Linked DNA regions of Macaca fascicularis. The protein of the gene in region 1 binds, or shares a complex with, the protein of each later gene. Links are inferred from orthologs where the notes say so. Each region holds a gene or a part of one and is shown in the gene's direction. Other genes may lie near its edges.

Region 1 (4,782 bases):
AAGCTCCGCCTCCCGGGTTCATGCCATTCTCCTGCCTCAGCCTCCTGAGTAGCTGGGACTACAGGCGCCCGCCACCTCGCCCGGCTAGCTTTTTGTATTTTTTAGTAGAGATGGGGTTTCACTGTGTTAGCCAGGATGGTCTTGATCTCCTGACCTCATGATCCGCCCATCTCGGCCTCCCAAAGTGCTGGGATTACAGGCTTGAGCCACCGCGCCTGGCCAATTTTTGTAGTTTTTAGTAGAGACAGGGTTTCACCATCTTGGCCAGGCTGGTCTCGAACTCCTGACCTCATGATCCACCCACCTTGGCCTCCCAAAGTGCTGGGATTACAGGCATGAGCCACTGCGCCTGTCCTATTTATTTATTTATTTATTTATTTATTTATTTATTTATTGAGACAGAGTCTCACTCTGTGGCCCAGGCTGGAATGCAGTGGCGCGATCTCGGCTCACTGCAACCTCCCCCTTCCAGGTTCACGAGATTCTCCTGCGTCAGCCTCCCGAGTAGCTGAGACTACGGGCACCTGGCCCAGCTAATTTTTTGTATTTTTAGTAGAGATGGGGTTTCACCGTGTTAGCCAGGATGGTCTCGATCTCCTGATCTCGTGATCTGCCCACCTCAGCCTCCCAAAGTGCTCGGATTACAGGCATGAGCCACTGCGCCCAGTAACGTTATTTTACTAAATCCTGTCTCTGAATGCAAGGGATACCTGGCCTGTTTTTATTCACCATCACTGTAGGTTGCTGAGTAAATGCTGAATTAATGAATGCGTCACTGAGTCAGTGACTGATTGCCTTCACACAGCGAGTGCTGGGCTGGGATCCTCCGTGAATCTGGGGAGGTGAGGTTTGCAAAGACAGGACGGATCTGGGGTGGGGAGATACCCAGGCTAGGCTGGCACTCAGGGGAGAGGACAGAGGTGAAGGGACTTAAAAAGCACCTAGAGATATGCCTAGCTCTACCTAAGACTCTCAGTTAACCGCCTAAAGTAGGGACACTTTTTGCCATTGCACAGGTAGGGAAACTGAGGCCCAAGGGCATTAACCCTGACCTGGCCTGGAGCCAACAGAGGAAACCCTGTACAGTTTGATGCACAAATATGTATAGAGTTCCCACTAGGCTCCCCGACCGTCCCTAGGAGCCGAGCTGCCCCTTTACCCATTCCAGGCCTCAGTTTCCCCGCCCACACTTCGCCCCCGCCTTATGGGATTCTAAACTGTCCCCGCAACGTGGGAGTTGAACGGAAACTACAACTCCCAAGAGGCCGTGCAGCCAAAGACACACGAGAACTACGGAGGGAGAGTCTCGCGCAGCAAACTGCCGTTCTCGCAAGGCTCGGGCTGCCCTTGGCGCTGCCGATCCCGGAAGTTGCTGCATTCAGGCGTTCGCCGACGACAGCCCATCGCGGGGCGGGGTTACGTGGAGGGGGCCTGATTGGGAGTCGGCGCAGGCGCAGTCCGCGCGGGTTCTCGCAGGCAAAACGGGTGCGAGTGGCGGCGATGGACGACGAGGAGGAGACGTACCGGCTCTGGAAAATCCGCAAGACCATCATGCAGGTGAGCCGCGCGTGGTGTTGGGGGCGGGGGCGCGAGCAGCAGGTGCAGGGGCCCGAGGGGAGGTCGAGCTCGGCGTCTCCTCGTACTCCCGTCGCAGCAGCAGCAGCGACGGAGGGCCCGGCCGACACGGGAGACCCCGAGGCCGCCGGGGATCCCAGGCGCTGGGCCCGACCTGAGCCGGCAGCGGGGAAGGGAGGGGGTTTCGAGACGTCTGGGTGCGGGGCTTAGCGGTGGGCGGGCGGCTTGGGCTGGTGCGGCGCACATGGCGGCGAGAGGAGGAAGGTGCGAATGGGGACGGGGGGCGCCCCCAGACCCTGCCCCACTCTGTGATTCAGCGTCGCCATTTGTCCTTGCGCCCTGAACCCCAGGGCGTCTCAGCATCCGAGGCTGGCGGAGTTGGTGGTTGGGAAGCAGCAGGCGAGCTGGGGCTTTCGATGGGGACGTGGAGCCCGGAACCCGTGCCTCGGGGTCTGAGACAGATGGAGGCCACTGGGCCGACTCCGGTTTGGAAACTGGGCAAATGTCTGAGGGCCTGCGGTTCAGGGTCCTCCCTCAGCCGTTGGGGCCGTTTGGGAGCTTTTGTTTTGTCTTGCTTCCCCACCCTATGCCCTTGTCTTTAGCGCAGCCCCCCGCAGCCTGATTCTCCTTCCTCCGGGCCGCAAACATTGTCAGCCTGAAGTCACATCTGTTTCGGTCCCTGTCTTTTTTTTTTTTTTTTTTAAGAGACAAGCTCTCACTCTGTCGCCCAGGCTGCAGCGCAGTGGTGCAGTCATAGCTCACTGCATCCTTGAACTCCTGGCCTCAAGCAGCCCTCCTGCCTCGGCCTCCCTGAGCTCTGGGGTCGCGGACGTGACCCCCCACGCCCCGTCTTTGTCCCTGTCTTTAGGGTAGCTCTGCAAAGTGGTTTGGAGGGCTTTGCCCCCTGCCAGGTTCCTGTGAGGCTGGATAGACGGACGGTCTTGGTCAAGGCTGGACACCTCTGCGAGCCTCTCGGGATCACGCTGGTCCCATCCTGTGGTGTGGGGCTGTGGGGGCCAGGATGGCTGTCATGGGGCACACAGCGAGTGTTCATTCCGTTTGCTGTTCACCTCTGTCCTCTGCAGCAGCCGCAGGTCTGACTTCTGGGTCACGAGCTCTGGCCGCCTTCCTGTCTCTGCCCTGGGGTCAGCTGGTTCTTTCTCTCTGCAGCTGTGCCACGACCGTGGCTACCTAGTGACCCAGGACGAGCTTGACCAGACACTGGAGGAGTTCAAAGCCCAATTTGGAGACAAGCCGAGTGAGGGGCGGCCGCGGCGCACTGACCTCACCGTGCTGGTGGCCCACAACGATGACCCCACCGACCAGATGTTTGTGTTCTTTCCAGGTGAGCAGCGGGTCCCCGGGGGAGTTCTGGTGGAGCCGCCCGAGCACCTGCTGAGGAGCCGGCCGCTAGCACCCCCTCCCTCCCGCCTCGTGCCCAGCGTTTGATCCTCTGCCCAATCTGGGAGGAAAACTTCCCCTCCTCTTCCTTGCTGTGGGCGATGCCGTGGACCTCTGACCCCTCTCATGCGCAGCCTCTTTCTGGTTTCCCTCTCATCGGTCCCCTTTCTTCCTGCCAACCAGGAGAGTCCCATGGACCTCCCTACTCACCCGCAGCCCCTCATGACCTTTGCCCTACCTGTGTTCCTTGGCTCCCTCATCCTGGCCGTTGGGTGCACTTCCAACTTCTTGGCCTGGCCCAGGAGGCCCCGTGTGGGTCAGCGCAGCCTCCTTGTGAGCTGTGGCCCCTGTCTGCCCCAGCCCATTCCTCTGCACCCCATGCCGCCTCTGCCCTGTCAGCGTCCGCTACTCATCCCTCGAGGTTGTGCTCAGGCCGCTTTTCCCGGGACCCCTGGGACCCTCGGTTTCAGCACCTGCACCGTGGAAGTCTCCCCACCTGTCTGCCCCCCCAGGATGGCTCTAGCGCCCTCAGTGGTTGGGGGACTACCAGCGCCTAGGGACACAGCCGCGTGCCCAGAATTAATCAGTGGGGTGGACGGAGCGTGTCTGCCAAGCGGGTGATGCTACTGCTTTTTTTTTTTTTGAAAGTCTCATTCTGTCACCCAGGCTGAAGTGCAGTGGTGCCATTTCGGCTCGCTGCAGCCTCCACCTCCTGAGTTCAAAATTCTCCTGCCTCAGCTTCCTGAGTAGCTGAGACTGCAGGCACCCACCACCATACCTGGCTTTTTTTTTTTTTTTTTTGTATTTTTGGTAGAGAGGGGGTTTCACCATGTTGGCCAGGCTGCTTTCAAACTCCTGACTTCAGGTGATCTGCCTGCCTCGGCCTCCCAAAGTGCTGGGATTACAGGCGTGAGCCACCGCGCCCGGTCTTCTTCTTGTTCTTTTTTTTTTGAGGCTGAGTCTCTCTCTCTGTCGCCCAGGCTGGAGTGCAGTGGCGCAATCTCGGCTCACTGCAACCTCCACCTCCTGGGTTGAAGCAATCCTCCCACCTCAGCCTCCCACAAAAAGCTAGGTTTACAGGCATACACCATCTCACCTGGCTACTTTTACTTTTTTTAGTAGTGTTTATTTATTTGTTTATTTGGTTTTTTGAGACGGAGTCTCGCTCTGTCGCCCAGGTTAGAGTGCAATGGCACAATCTTGGCTCACTGCACGCTCCTTCTCCCGGGTTCACACCATTCTCCTGCCTTAGTCTCCAGAGTAGCTGGGACTACAGGTGCCCGCCACCACGCCCAGCTAATTTTTTGTATTTTTAGTAGAAACGGGGTTTCACCGTGTTAGCCAGGATGGTCTCGATCTCCTTACATTGTGATCCGCCTGCCTCAGCCTCCCAAAGTGCTGGGATTGCAGGTGTGAGCCACCGTGCCTGGCCAATTTTTTGTACTGTTAATAGAGATGGGATTTCACGATGTTGGCCAGGCTGGTTTCGAACTCCTGACCTCAAGCAATCCACCTGCCTCAGCCTCCCAAAGTGCTAGGGTTACAGGTGTGAGCCACTGCACCCGGCCTCAGGTGATGCTTCTTAAAGAGAGCATCCTGGGGTGTGAGATGTGCTTGTTGGACAGGTGGGTGCTGAGTCACCCCCCCTCCCCAGGACTGCCCGGGGTGGGAGCCTCTCAGAGTTGAAGGTCTCTGCCTCTCACTGGTCTCTGGGTGACTGAGGGGTGTCAGGCCCCCGTCCTTGTCTCTAGGTGAATGAGGTTTCAGCCCTTTCTTCCCCTGTCCTGGGATCCTGCAACTCAGGTC
Region 2 (4,829 bases), on another chromosome or scaffold:
ACAATTTTATTGTATTCTAATTATTCATTCATGTTCCTTGAGGTCAAAGAACACAGATTTCAACTTTGCAGGTTCAGCCTCAGCTCAAAACCTGGCATAGTTGCTCAATAAATACTTTATTGAATAGATTGTGAGCTTCTGTTGGGAAAAGGATATGCCTTTCAATGCTTTGTTCTTTACTGCAACTCACAGGGGATGTTGGGTGAGTGTTTTTCAAATTAAAAAGAGAAAATTGAGAAGGGTAGAATTTCAAGTTCCATTTTCAAAGGAGACACACAGATAAGTGAGAATAAAAACTGTCTACGACAATCAGCTCAACAACACATCTCCCTTTGTCAGACAGAATAACAAGCAATTTCACAGTTAAGTGATAGGGCTTGTCACTCTTCAGCAGTTTGCTGAGTTTTAACCCTTTAACTATGGTGTTCTCTCCATTATCACAGAGAAAGGCAGATGGGAGCCTCTCCCAGCGAAAAGACTACAGCTTGTGTCCTTCACAGGACAAAATAGTGATGGCTCCAGAACTTTCATATGAAGGAACTTAGCACAGCTATCAGAGTGGGTGGTGGTGGGAGGACTAGCATGAAACTAGTAAACAACGACAAGCTGCCCCTTCAGGGAAAGTTTCTACTTCGAATATAAGTTACAGAGTAACGAAAATAGCAAGATTTCCGAAAGAAACTTATTCCCATGTTTTATAAAAGATCAGGGAAATGTCAGCTGTCCACTTAATGGATGACGAATAATGAATTAAGAGTTCGATAAGCGGCAGGCACAACTAAAAGCCAAACTCGACCTAAGTCTTATGAAATCCTACTTAATGAGCTTCTTGACTACTGCTAGCCTCACTTATCTGGCAGGAGTCGAAGGAGGGGAAGCCCCAAGCTCTTCTGTTCTACCACCTCCAAAGTCCTGAGCCCCTTCTCAAGTGTCCCACTTCATCCCTGCTTCCTTTCGTCCCGTGGGACTAAGGATTCCTCTGGCCTTCACCCTCACCACTTGCTGTCCCTCAAGAAGCCGACTCACCCCTTTCCAAGCGCGGTGAACCGTCCGCAAAGCACAGGCCGGCTGCGCTCTGCAGAAAGCCCACGCTCGCCAGCGGGACCCAAGGAACGCTAGAACTATACATGCCAGAACACTTAGCTTTGTTTTTAACTACTGTGCAGCCGCAAAAGGGAAATACCAGCTCAGGACCCAGGGGAGTTGTAGTTCTCTAATCCAAAGAAGTCATTATTCAGCAAAGTACGGTTTTCAGGAGGATATTCCCCCGCGATTGGGTTCCCGTAGGATGTGAAACAGAGAATAAATATCCCAGGATTCGGTGCTGGTGGGAAAATTTGCTGGAAGCGCAGCATTGGTTACCAATTTTGTGCTCAACGTCTCAGTACCAGCCTGAAAGTTGAGCCCCAACCTCCCTTAGAAGAGGTGACTCTCCATCTCTAAGGCTTCCGAGACACGGTTCGCAATTAATTATGACGTCACAGCCAATCGTCAGCGTGAAAGCGTGACGCTCTAGCCGGCTCTAGCTCGCTGCCCCGCCGCGGGCGCAGAGCTGGCGCTCTAGCCCACGGAGTTGGCCAGCTCCTCTCGCCGGCCCCAGGAAAGGGTTCCAAGTCCTTTTAGTACCCGACGCTGTCTGGGAGTTCCGGGCGTTTCGGCTCCTTGGTCGCAGAGGCAGGAGGCGTGCGTGGGAGGAGGACTCGGGTTATATACTCCTACGTCCTGGGACGGAATAGTTACCAACTCTGGGGCAGGAACTCTTCTCTCTTTTGTTAATAAACTTCTAACTCCCTCCTCAGACCCGACTGCATGTCTGTCATGGACCTCGCCGGTACTTGCTCCAGCTTTCAGTCGGACTTGGATTTCTGTTCAGATTGCGGCTCGGTCCTGCCTCTGCCCGGGGCTCAGGATACGGTCACCTGTACTCGCTGTGGCTTCAACATCAACGTTCGGGGTGAGAGGCTTGTACACAGGGGTCCTGGCGGAGGGCCCAGGATCGGAAGCTTGGGGAACTCAAGATAGGTTGGGTTCAGAAGGGGATCCTAGAGCAGGACATCAGGCAGTTGTACATTTGGTCCAGCGATGAAAACTGAGGGAAAGGATATAGGGCCTCCTGGCCTAACCAGCCAGGGGAGAGGGGAAGTTTCCGGTGTCAGCTCCCTCAGGTTGTCTCCATAACCAGTCTTACTTGCCTGTGCAGACTTTGAGGGGAAGGTTGTGAAGACTTCAGTTGTGTTCCACCAACTGGGGACAGCCATGCCTATGTCGGTGGAGGAAGGGCCTGAGTGCCAGGGACCTGTGGTAAGTTAATGAGATCAAGAACTGGCTCCATAAGGTGGGTAGGAAAGAAATGGAGGAGTGATTGCAGAGATCTGGAGAGTTTTGTGCCCAATTCCAAGTGGGAAAAGATGTAAAGCATCGATGTTTGAGAGGCGTGATCGCCTGGTTCCTGTGGGAAGTAAGGGTATGATATGACCAGGCCTCCATAACCCACCAGTTTCTTCCCAGGTTGACAGGCGCTGCCCTCGATGTGGTCATGAAGGAATGGCATACCACACCAGACAGATGCGTTCAGCCGATGAAGGGCAAACTGTCTTCTACACCTGTACCAACTGCAAGTGGGTATCCTTTCCCCTCCCTTTGCTCAGTCTGTTTGCTAACTAATAAACAAATCCAGTGATTTATTTTTTTGTACTAAACGGCTGTGTCCTTTCGTCCCATCCCTTATTTCTGTGCAGTTCTGGTAAGAGGGAGATTTGTAGTTTTTATTTTTTTAAATTACACTTTTTTAACCCTTTTTGTAACCAGTGAAATAAACCTTTTAGGTTTTTGTTTTGTTTTTTTTTTTTTTTTTTAAATGGACAGGGTGTTGCTCTGTCACCTAGCCTGGAGTGCAGTGAGGCAATCTTGGCTCACTGCAACCTCCGCCTCCTGGGCTCAGGTAATCCTCCCACCTCAGCCTCCAAAATAGCTTTGGGACCACAGGCACGTGCCACCACACCTGGCTTTTTGTTTTGTTTTGTTTTTTGTATTTTTAGTAGAGATAGGGTTTCTCTCTGTTTCCCAGGCTGGTCTTGAACTCCTGAGCTCAATCAACCCACCTCAGCATCCCAAAGTGCTGGGGATTACAGGCATGAGCCACCCTGCCTGACCTTCTTTTAGGATATTTAAAAGGAAATGAAGAAAAAAAACCATAAGAAGCAAGTATTGTTTAGTGGTCAGCGTCTTATACTGCAGTCTTCAACCGCAGTCAAGGTAGCTTTACTTTGGAGAGAATTAGTCACACATGATTTAGAGAACATGGGCTTTCTGAATGCTTTTAAGACCTCATCTTTGTCTTTGGTGTTCTGCAGTCACTATAGTATATCAAAATGTGATTTTCTTTTATTCTGTTTGGGATTTGTTGGACTTTCTGAAACTGAGAGTGCATTGTTGTTTTTTGTTTTGTTTTGTTTTTTTGAGACGGAGTCTCGCTCTGTCTCCCAGGCTGGAGTCCAGTGGTGTGTTCTCGGCTCACTGCAAGCTCCGCCTCCCGGGTTCACGCCATTCTCCTGCCTCAGCCTCCTGAATAGCTGGGACTACAGGTGCCCCCCACCACGCCCGGCTAATTTTTTGTGTTTTTTAGTAGAGACGAGATTTCACTGTGTTAGCCAGGATGATCTCGATCTCCTGACCTCGTGATCCACCCGCCTCGGCCTCCCCAAGTGCTGGGATTACAGGCGTGAGCCACTACGCCCAGCCTAGAGTGGATTTTTTTTTCATCAACCTTGGAAAATTATCAGCCATCATCTCTTTTAATATTCTCTTTCCCCCATGTTCTCAGTCCTCACATTCTGGACCTCTAATTAGTTACTAGAATGAGATTTCTCTCTTCTGTCCTCCATTTCTCTCGCCCTCTTTTCATATTTTCAATCGCTTTTCTCTTTATGCCACCTTCTGAGTAATTTCTTCAGGTTCCTCTTCCATGTCACTAGTTCTGTCTTCAGTTTATTTCAAATATTATTATTTTTTACTATTGTTATTATTTTGAGTTCTATTTAATTACTTTTCAAATCTCAATTTTTAAATAATTCTCAGTTCCTTAATCATATTTTAAATTGTTCCTTTTACTAGTCTTTAAATATATAAAATATTAAATATAGTTATTATATTCTATGTCTCATAATTCTGATATCCATGGATTTTGTGTGTCTGATGCTGCTGTCTGTTTCTGCTGTCTCTCTCATAGTGCTTTTTTCTTTGTTTTGTAATTTTTGACAATAAATTTGAGTTTTTTAGAACTTGAACTGTAGGAATTCTTTGAGGCCTTGGGTAAGTGCTGTATTCTCAGCATTTGTGTTTCTTTTCTAGGTGCCTTGAAGCACTATCAAGCTGGAATTACTTTAAATAAATTCTTGGCTTCATGTTTTTTGGAGCACACAGATAGTATGAATTTGAGCTGCAAATCCATGTAAGGGCTAGCTTATGGCTAGAAATTCTCAGGAAAGAGTTTTCTCTCTTTCTACCTACTGAGACAGTCAAATTCCCCTTCTATAGAGTTGAATTTTTTCTTTTGTTGTTCACTTTTACAAAAAAGGGCAGCCTTTTGCAGTTCCCAAATTTATGCACAGGATCTCCTATCAACCTTACACATTTTGTCCCTCATTTCCTATGCTTCCAGTGACTGTTGCAACAGTATAAAGGGCACCATAGTGTCACTGTCACATTTCATAGGGACATCAGTTTTAACTTCACTGTCTGGATTTCTGGTTTTACAGAACTTTTAACCAGTATGAAGACTGCCTTTACTTTCTTGCCATCTCATCAAAAGATTAAAAATATTCATAGTC
Region 3 (4,986 bases), on another chromosome or scaffold:
GTGGTGCAATCACAGCTCACTGCAGCCATGACCTCCAGGGTTCAAGCGATCCTCTTGCCTCAGTTTCCAAGTAGCTGGGACTACAGGTATGCACCATCTTATGTTGCCCAGGCTGGTCTTGAAGTCCTGGAGAGAGATACATATAAACACACACACACACACACACACACACACACACACACACACACACACACAGAGTTTGTTTTTTTTTTTTTTTTGAGACACAGTTTCGCTCTTGTTACCCAGGCTGGAGTGCAATGGCACGATCTTGGCTCACTGCAACCTTTGCCTCCCAGGTTCAAGCGATTCTCCTGCCTCAGCCTCCCAAGTAGCTGGGATTACAGGCACCACCACCACGCCCAGCTAATTTTGTATTTTTAGTAGAGACAGGGTTTCGTCACGGCCAGGCTGGTCTCAAACTCCTGGCCTCAGGTGATCCACCTGCCTCAGCCTCCCAAAGTGTTGGGATAACAGGCGTGAGCCACTGTGCTCGGCCCATACATATGCATTTTTAAAAATTTATTTATTTATTTAGAGACAGGGTCTCGCTCTGTTGCCCAAGTGGGAGTGCAGTGATGCTATCTCCCTGGCTCAAGCAATCCTCAGTCTCACGAGTAGCTGGGACTACAGGTGTGTGCCACCACACCTAGATAATTTTTATTGTTTTTATTTTTTACATTTTTCGTAGAGATGGGGTTTCACGGCGTCACCCAGCCTGGATATTTTTGTATTTTTGATAGGCCTGTATAGTTTCCAAAGTTGCAACCTTTTCCCCTCCCTGAGGGTAGGGGCAGCCTCTGCTCTCCCTCTACATCCCCTACAGTCCCGAGGTTTTGGCCTCTGCTGTTTCCTGTTTCCTATGCTTGGAACACCAGTCGCTCTTTTGTTGGTCTGGTTGACTCCTGTTCCTCTTTTAAAAATTTAAGTTTGGCCAGGCACGGTGGCTCACACTTGTAATCCCAGCACTTTGGGAGGCCGAGGCGGGTGGATGACCTGAGGTCAGCAGTTCGAGACCAGTTTGGCCAACATAGTGCAACCCCGTCTCTACTAAAAATACAAAAGTTAGCCGGGTATGGTGACATGCGCCTGTAATCCCAGCTACTTGGGAGGCTGAGGCACGAGAATTGCTTGAACCCAGGAGGCGGAAGTTGCAGTGAGCTGGGATCACGACACTGCACTCCACCTGGGCAACAGAGATGGAGGTTGCAGTGAGCTGAGATCACGCCACTGCACTCCAGCCTGGGCAACAGGGCAAGACTAGGTCTCAAAAGAAAGAAAAAAAAAGTCAAGGGGGTAACACCTCTTGGAAACTCTCCTGCTGTTTCTCATTCCAGCATCATCACAGCCTTGAGGCTCTGGGGTAGATCACTTCGTCGAGCTCGTTTACGTGAGGATAACGTTATCTTGGTGGTCTGTAAGAATGTTGCATTGAGTACAGAGCCCAGGCTCCTGGGTCACCCGGGTTCAAATCCCCTTTCCTCCGTGAGGATCTGGGTCAATCACAGTGCTTCAGTTTCTTTGATTTAACTGAGGGAGGCTTTGACTCCAAAAAATTAACACTCGAGTGTACCCGGCCACAGCTTAGCACATCCAGAGTATTTCCACCCTTTCTTTGGGATTCTTGGGCCTGGATGGAGCAGGACCTTCCTGCCTCTCCTTACTCGCGCATTCGCGCTGAGTGGAACAAGTGGTCCAAGTAGAATGAGGGGCGGGGTTTGGCGGCGCTCTAGCTCGCGGAGAGCACACGCTCTCCCCACGCGGGGTCCCTGATTGGCTGAAGGTTGCGCCGGCAAGCGCAACTTCCGGGACAGAGGGCTGTGGCTGGAAGGAGCAGAGCATCCGGCCTGAGGCGCAGCGGTCGTGTTAGTTCGGCCCAATGGCGGCACCACTGCTTCACACGCGGTTGCCGGGAGATGCGGCTGCTTCGGCCTCTGCAGTCAAGACGCTGGGCGCGTCGAGGACTGGGTAAGATTCAGGCCGCTTCCTTCTGCGCGTCCGAGACCAAAGCTCAGGACTGCGCTTAGGGGAGCGGATTGAAAGGGTCTGGGACAAAGCTAATGGCGTGTGGTAAGAGCACGGGGTCGAGGGTCATCTCATGTTCGCGGGAATGAGCTCATTCCTCCTAACTGGGTAATAGACATGGGTGGGGCCTGGAAAAGTCAGTATTTTATCTGTTCTGGAGCCCCCCTTTCCCGACTGTATTTCTTCGTGATTTCCCAGGCCTCGGTACTGCCTTCTGCGCCTTGACTCCTCTTCCCGCTTCTTCGTCCAAATTTGGAAGGGATTCCCTGGGCTATTCGGTTTATCAGCCGAATATTGTCACTCATGGCAAATTGAATATTACATCTTTTTTGTTTGAAATTTGTTTCGACACACGTATTTGTTTAGCAGTCTTTATTTTGCTCCGCTTTTAAATCCCTAACCCCCATAGCACACTTGGCGTTTAACTTTCAGAGTCATTAGGATGCTATGTTTTTTCATTAATTTACTCTGTGTAAGTGAAGCAGACCTTGTAAAACAATTAGCATAATATGATTCATAATATTTATCGATCTCCTGCTTACTATGTTAAACACTGGGGACAGTGGTTTATCCAAAGACACTAATGTCCCTGCTTTCTACAGAGCTTACAGCCTATGGGGGAAAGGCAGTACATAGGCCAATAAATTACGATGGTTTCAGTTATACAACAGGGTAATGGGGAGGGAGAAGGGAGAGAAGGAGTACTTGAGATTTCTCGTGGGGAAGACATCTGACATTTGAGCTTCCACTTGAATGAAGACAAAAGTCTAGGCCGGGAGTAGTTGCTCACGCCTGTAATCACAGCACTTTGAAATGCCGAGGTGGGCGGATCACCTGAAGTCAGGAGATCGAGACCAGCCTGGCCAACATGCCAAAACCCCATCTCTACTAAAAATACAAAAATTAGCCGAGCGTGGTGGCGGGTGCCTGTAATCCCAGCTACTCAGGAGGCTGAGGCAGGAGAATTGTTTGAACCCGGGAGATGGAGGTTGCAGTTAAGCCGAGATCACACCACTGCACTCCAGCCTGGGCAGCAGAGCAAGACACGTCTCAAAAACAAACAAACAAACAAACAAAAAAATCCAGCCACGTGGAGATTTGGGAAAAGAGTATTTCCGATAGAGTGAACAGTAAGTGAAATGAGAACCAGCTTGGCATGTCGAAGAGCAGAAAAGACATTATGGCTGTAGTAAAACAAGGTGTTGGAGATGAGGTGAGAGAGGTAGGCAGGGGCCAGATTAATGTAGGATCTTAAATACCACACTGAGAGATTTGAATTTTTACTATAAGTGCAGTGGGAAGACAGTTTTCGGTTGCTGAGCGAAGGAGGGATTGTTGGTTAGGAGTGGAAGCAGGGAGACCAGTAAAGAGGCCTTAACAATAGTCCCACTGAATGATGTTGGTTCAATAAATGTTGGCTATTATAATTTTTAATATTTTCATGAACTTAATAGCTTGTTAATTTTGGTTCCACAGGATTTCAAATATGCGTGCATTAGAGAATGATTTTTTCAATTCTCCCCCAAGAAAAACTGTTCGGTTTGGTGGAACTGTGACAGAAGTCTTGCTAAAGTATAAAAAGGTAAGAGGAGATAATGTATGAGGTTTGCTTTTGGTCAGGTCAGAATACAACTATTGCTGTTATACTAAAGACCAATAGAAATAGCAAGCTTAATTAAGATACCAGTTGAAATCAAATATTTAATAATAGCATGATGCCGTCAGTGCAAACTTAGAGTAATAGTGTCCTTTTTTTCCCCCACCTTGGCCCGTTTCACAGGTAATAATGAGAGAGTAATAATGTCTTTACTGAGGTTTCACCTCTTCACATGCTTTATTTACAAGCATCTTTTAGCTTTAGCAAGTGCTAGAATGAAAAACAATTACAGAGTTTTATTTACTTATTTATTTTTATTTTTTTAATTTTTTGAGCCGGAGTCTCACTCTGTCACCCAGGCTGGAGTGCAGTGGCGTGATCTCAGCTCACAGCATCCTCCACCTCCCAGGTTCAAGCAATTCCCCTGCCTCAGTCTCCTGAATAGCTGGGATTACAGACACGTACCACCACACCTGGCTAATTTTTTAATTTTTTTAGTAGAGATGGGGTTTCGGCATGTTGGCCAGGCTGGTCTCAAACTCCTGACCTTGTGATCCGCCCACCTCGGCCTCCCAAAGTGCTGGGATTACAGGCGTGAGCCACTGTGCCTGGCCTACAGCATTTTATTTTTTGAGGAACTTACCTAAGCATTACTTTAGGACAGTAAACCATCATCTGACTAGAGATTTTTGTTTCTGTGGTAGTTCAGAAGCATTTCTACTATATCTCAGGAGTAGAGGGAAAATGTTAAGTAACCGTATGTTTACATGTAATATCCATTTGTATCCATATTTGAGTGAATACTTTTTTAGATCCTCCTGAATAGATCATTATAGCTGGCTGTTTTTTTCCCTCATGCTTTTTGAGAATTCGCAGGAGTATCAACTGTTATATTCAAATGTCAATACAGAAGTATAGCCAAATGTAGTTTATCATTTTCCTTTTTCCAAGCCCTCTGGCTGCACTAACATGAGTGTTTAAATTTTTGTAGTCATGATTTTATAATCTGCAATTGACATGTGAAAGTTAGTGTTCCTTTTATAATTTCATCTGATGTTAAGGTATGGTTAAAAGTCTTGCTGTTGCTACTAAATAGGAAACAAAAGCATAACTTAATTCTTTCCCCTTCTTGTTAAGGGTGAAACAAATGACTTCGAGTTGTTGAAGAACCAGCTGTTAGATCCAGACATAAAGGTAATTAATTTTGTGTTTGATCATTAGCAAAATTATTGCCACTTTATACAGACATAGTTTGTTCTTTGGCTCCTATTCTGTCCTCTAGAACTTGCTCTCTCCATGGTCCTCCCTTACTTTAATCTGGTGGTTCTCAACCAGGGACAGTTTTACACCCTAGGAGACATTTGGTA

The links. The genes of interacting proteins can lie anywhere in the genome.
Region 2: POLR2E (region 1) and POLR1H share a complex: the UniProt entries of both Homo sapiens proteins name them as parts of the pol I pre-initiation complex. The link is inferred for Macaca fascicularis from reciprocal best matches to the Homo sapiens genes POLR2E and POLR1H.
Region 3: POLR2E (region 1) and RRN3 share a complex: the UniProt entries of both Homo sapiens proteins name them as parts of the pol I pre-initiation complex. The link is inferred for Macaca fascicularis from reciprocal best matches to the Homo sapiens genes POLR2E and RRN3.

The regions. Positions count from the first base shown.
Region 1 is NC_088393.1:1,665,417-1,670,198, reverse strand, and holds the start of POLR2E (DNA-directed RNA polymerases I, II, and III subunit RPABC1), read left to right. Parts: upstream 1-1,455; 5' UTR 1,456-1,500; coding exon 1,501-1,557; intron 1,558-2,745; coding exon 2,746-2,920; intron 2,921-4,782. UniProt on the Homo sapiens protein: DNA-dependent RNA polymerase catalyzes the transcription of DNA into RNA using the four ribonucleoside triphosphates as substrates.
Region 2 is NC_088378.1:142,602,373-142,607,201, reverse strand, and holds the start of POLR1H (DNA-directed RNA polymerase I subunit RPA12), read left to right. Parts: upstream 1-1,647; 5' UTR 1,648-1,674; exon of another isoform or gene 1,675-1,683; intron 1,684-1,799; 5' UTR 1,800-1,809; coding exon 1,810-1,954; intron 1,955-2,200; coding exon 2,201-2,301; intron 2,302-2,508; coding exon 2,509-2,618; intron 2,619-4,829. UniProt on the Homo sapiens protein: Core component of RNA polymerase I (Pol I), a DNA-dependent RNA polymerase which synthesizes ribosomal RNA precursors using the four ribonucleoside triphosphates as substrates. Can mediate Pol I proofreading of the nascent RNA transcript.
Region 3 is NC_088394.1:15,491,737-15,496,722, forward strand, and holds the start of RRN3 (RNA polymerase I-specific transcription initiation factor RRN3), read left to right. Parts: upstream 1-1,804; 5' UTR 1,805-1,876; coding exon 1,877-1,965; intron 1,966-3,498; coding exon 3,499-3,604; intron 3,605-4,756; coding exon 4,757-4,813; intron 4,814-4,986. UniProt on the Homo sapiens protein: Required for efficient transcription initiation by RNA polymerase I (Pol I). Required for the formation of the competent pre-initiation complex (PIC).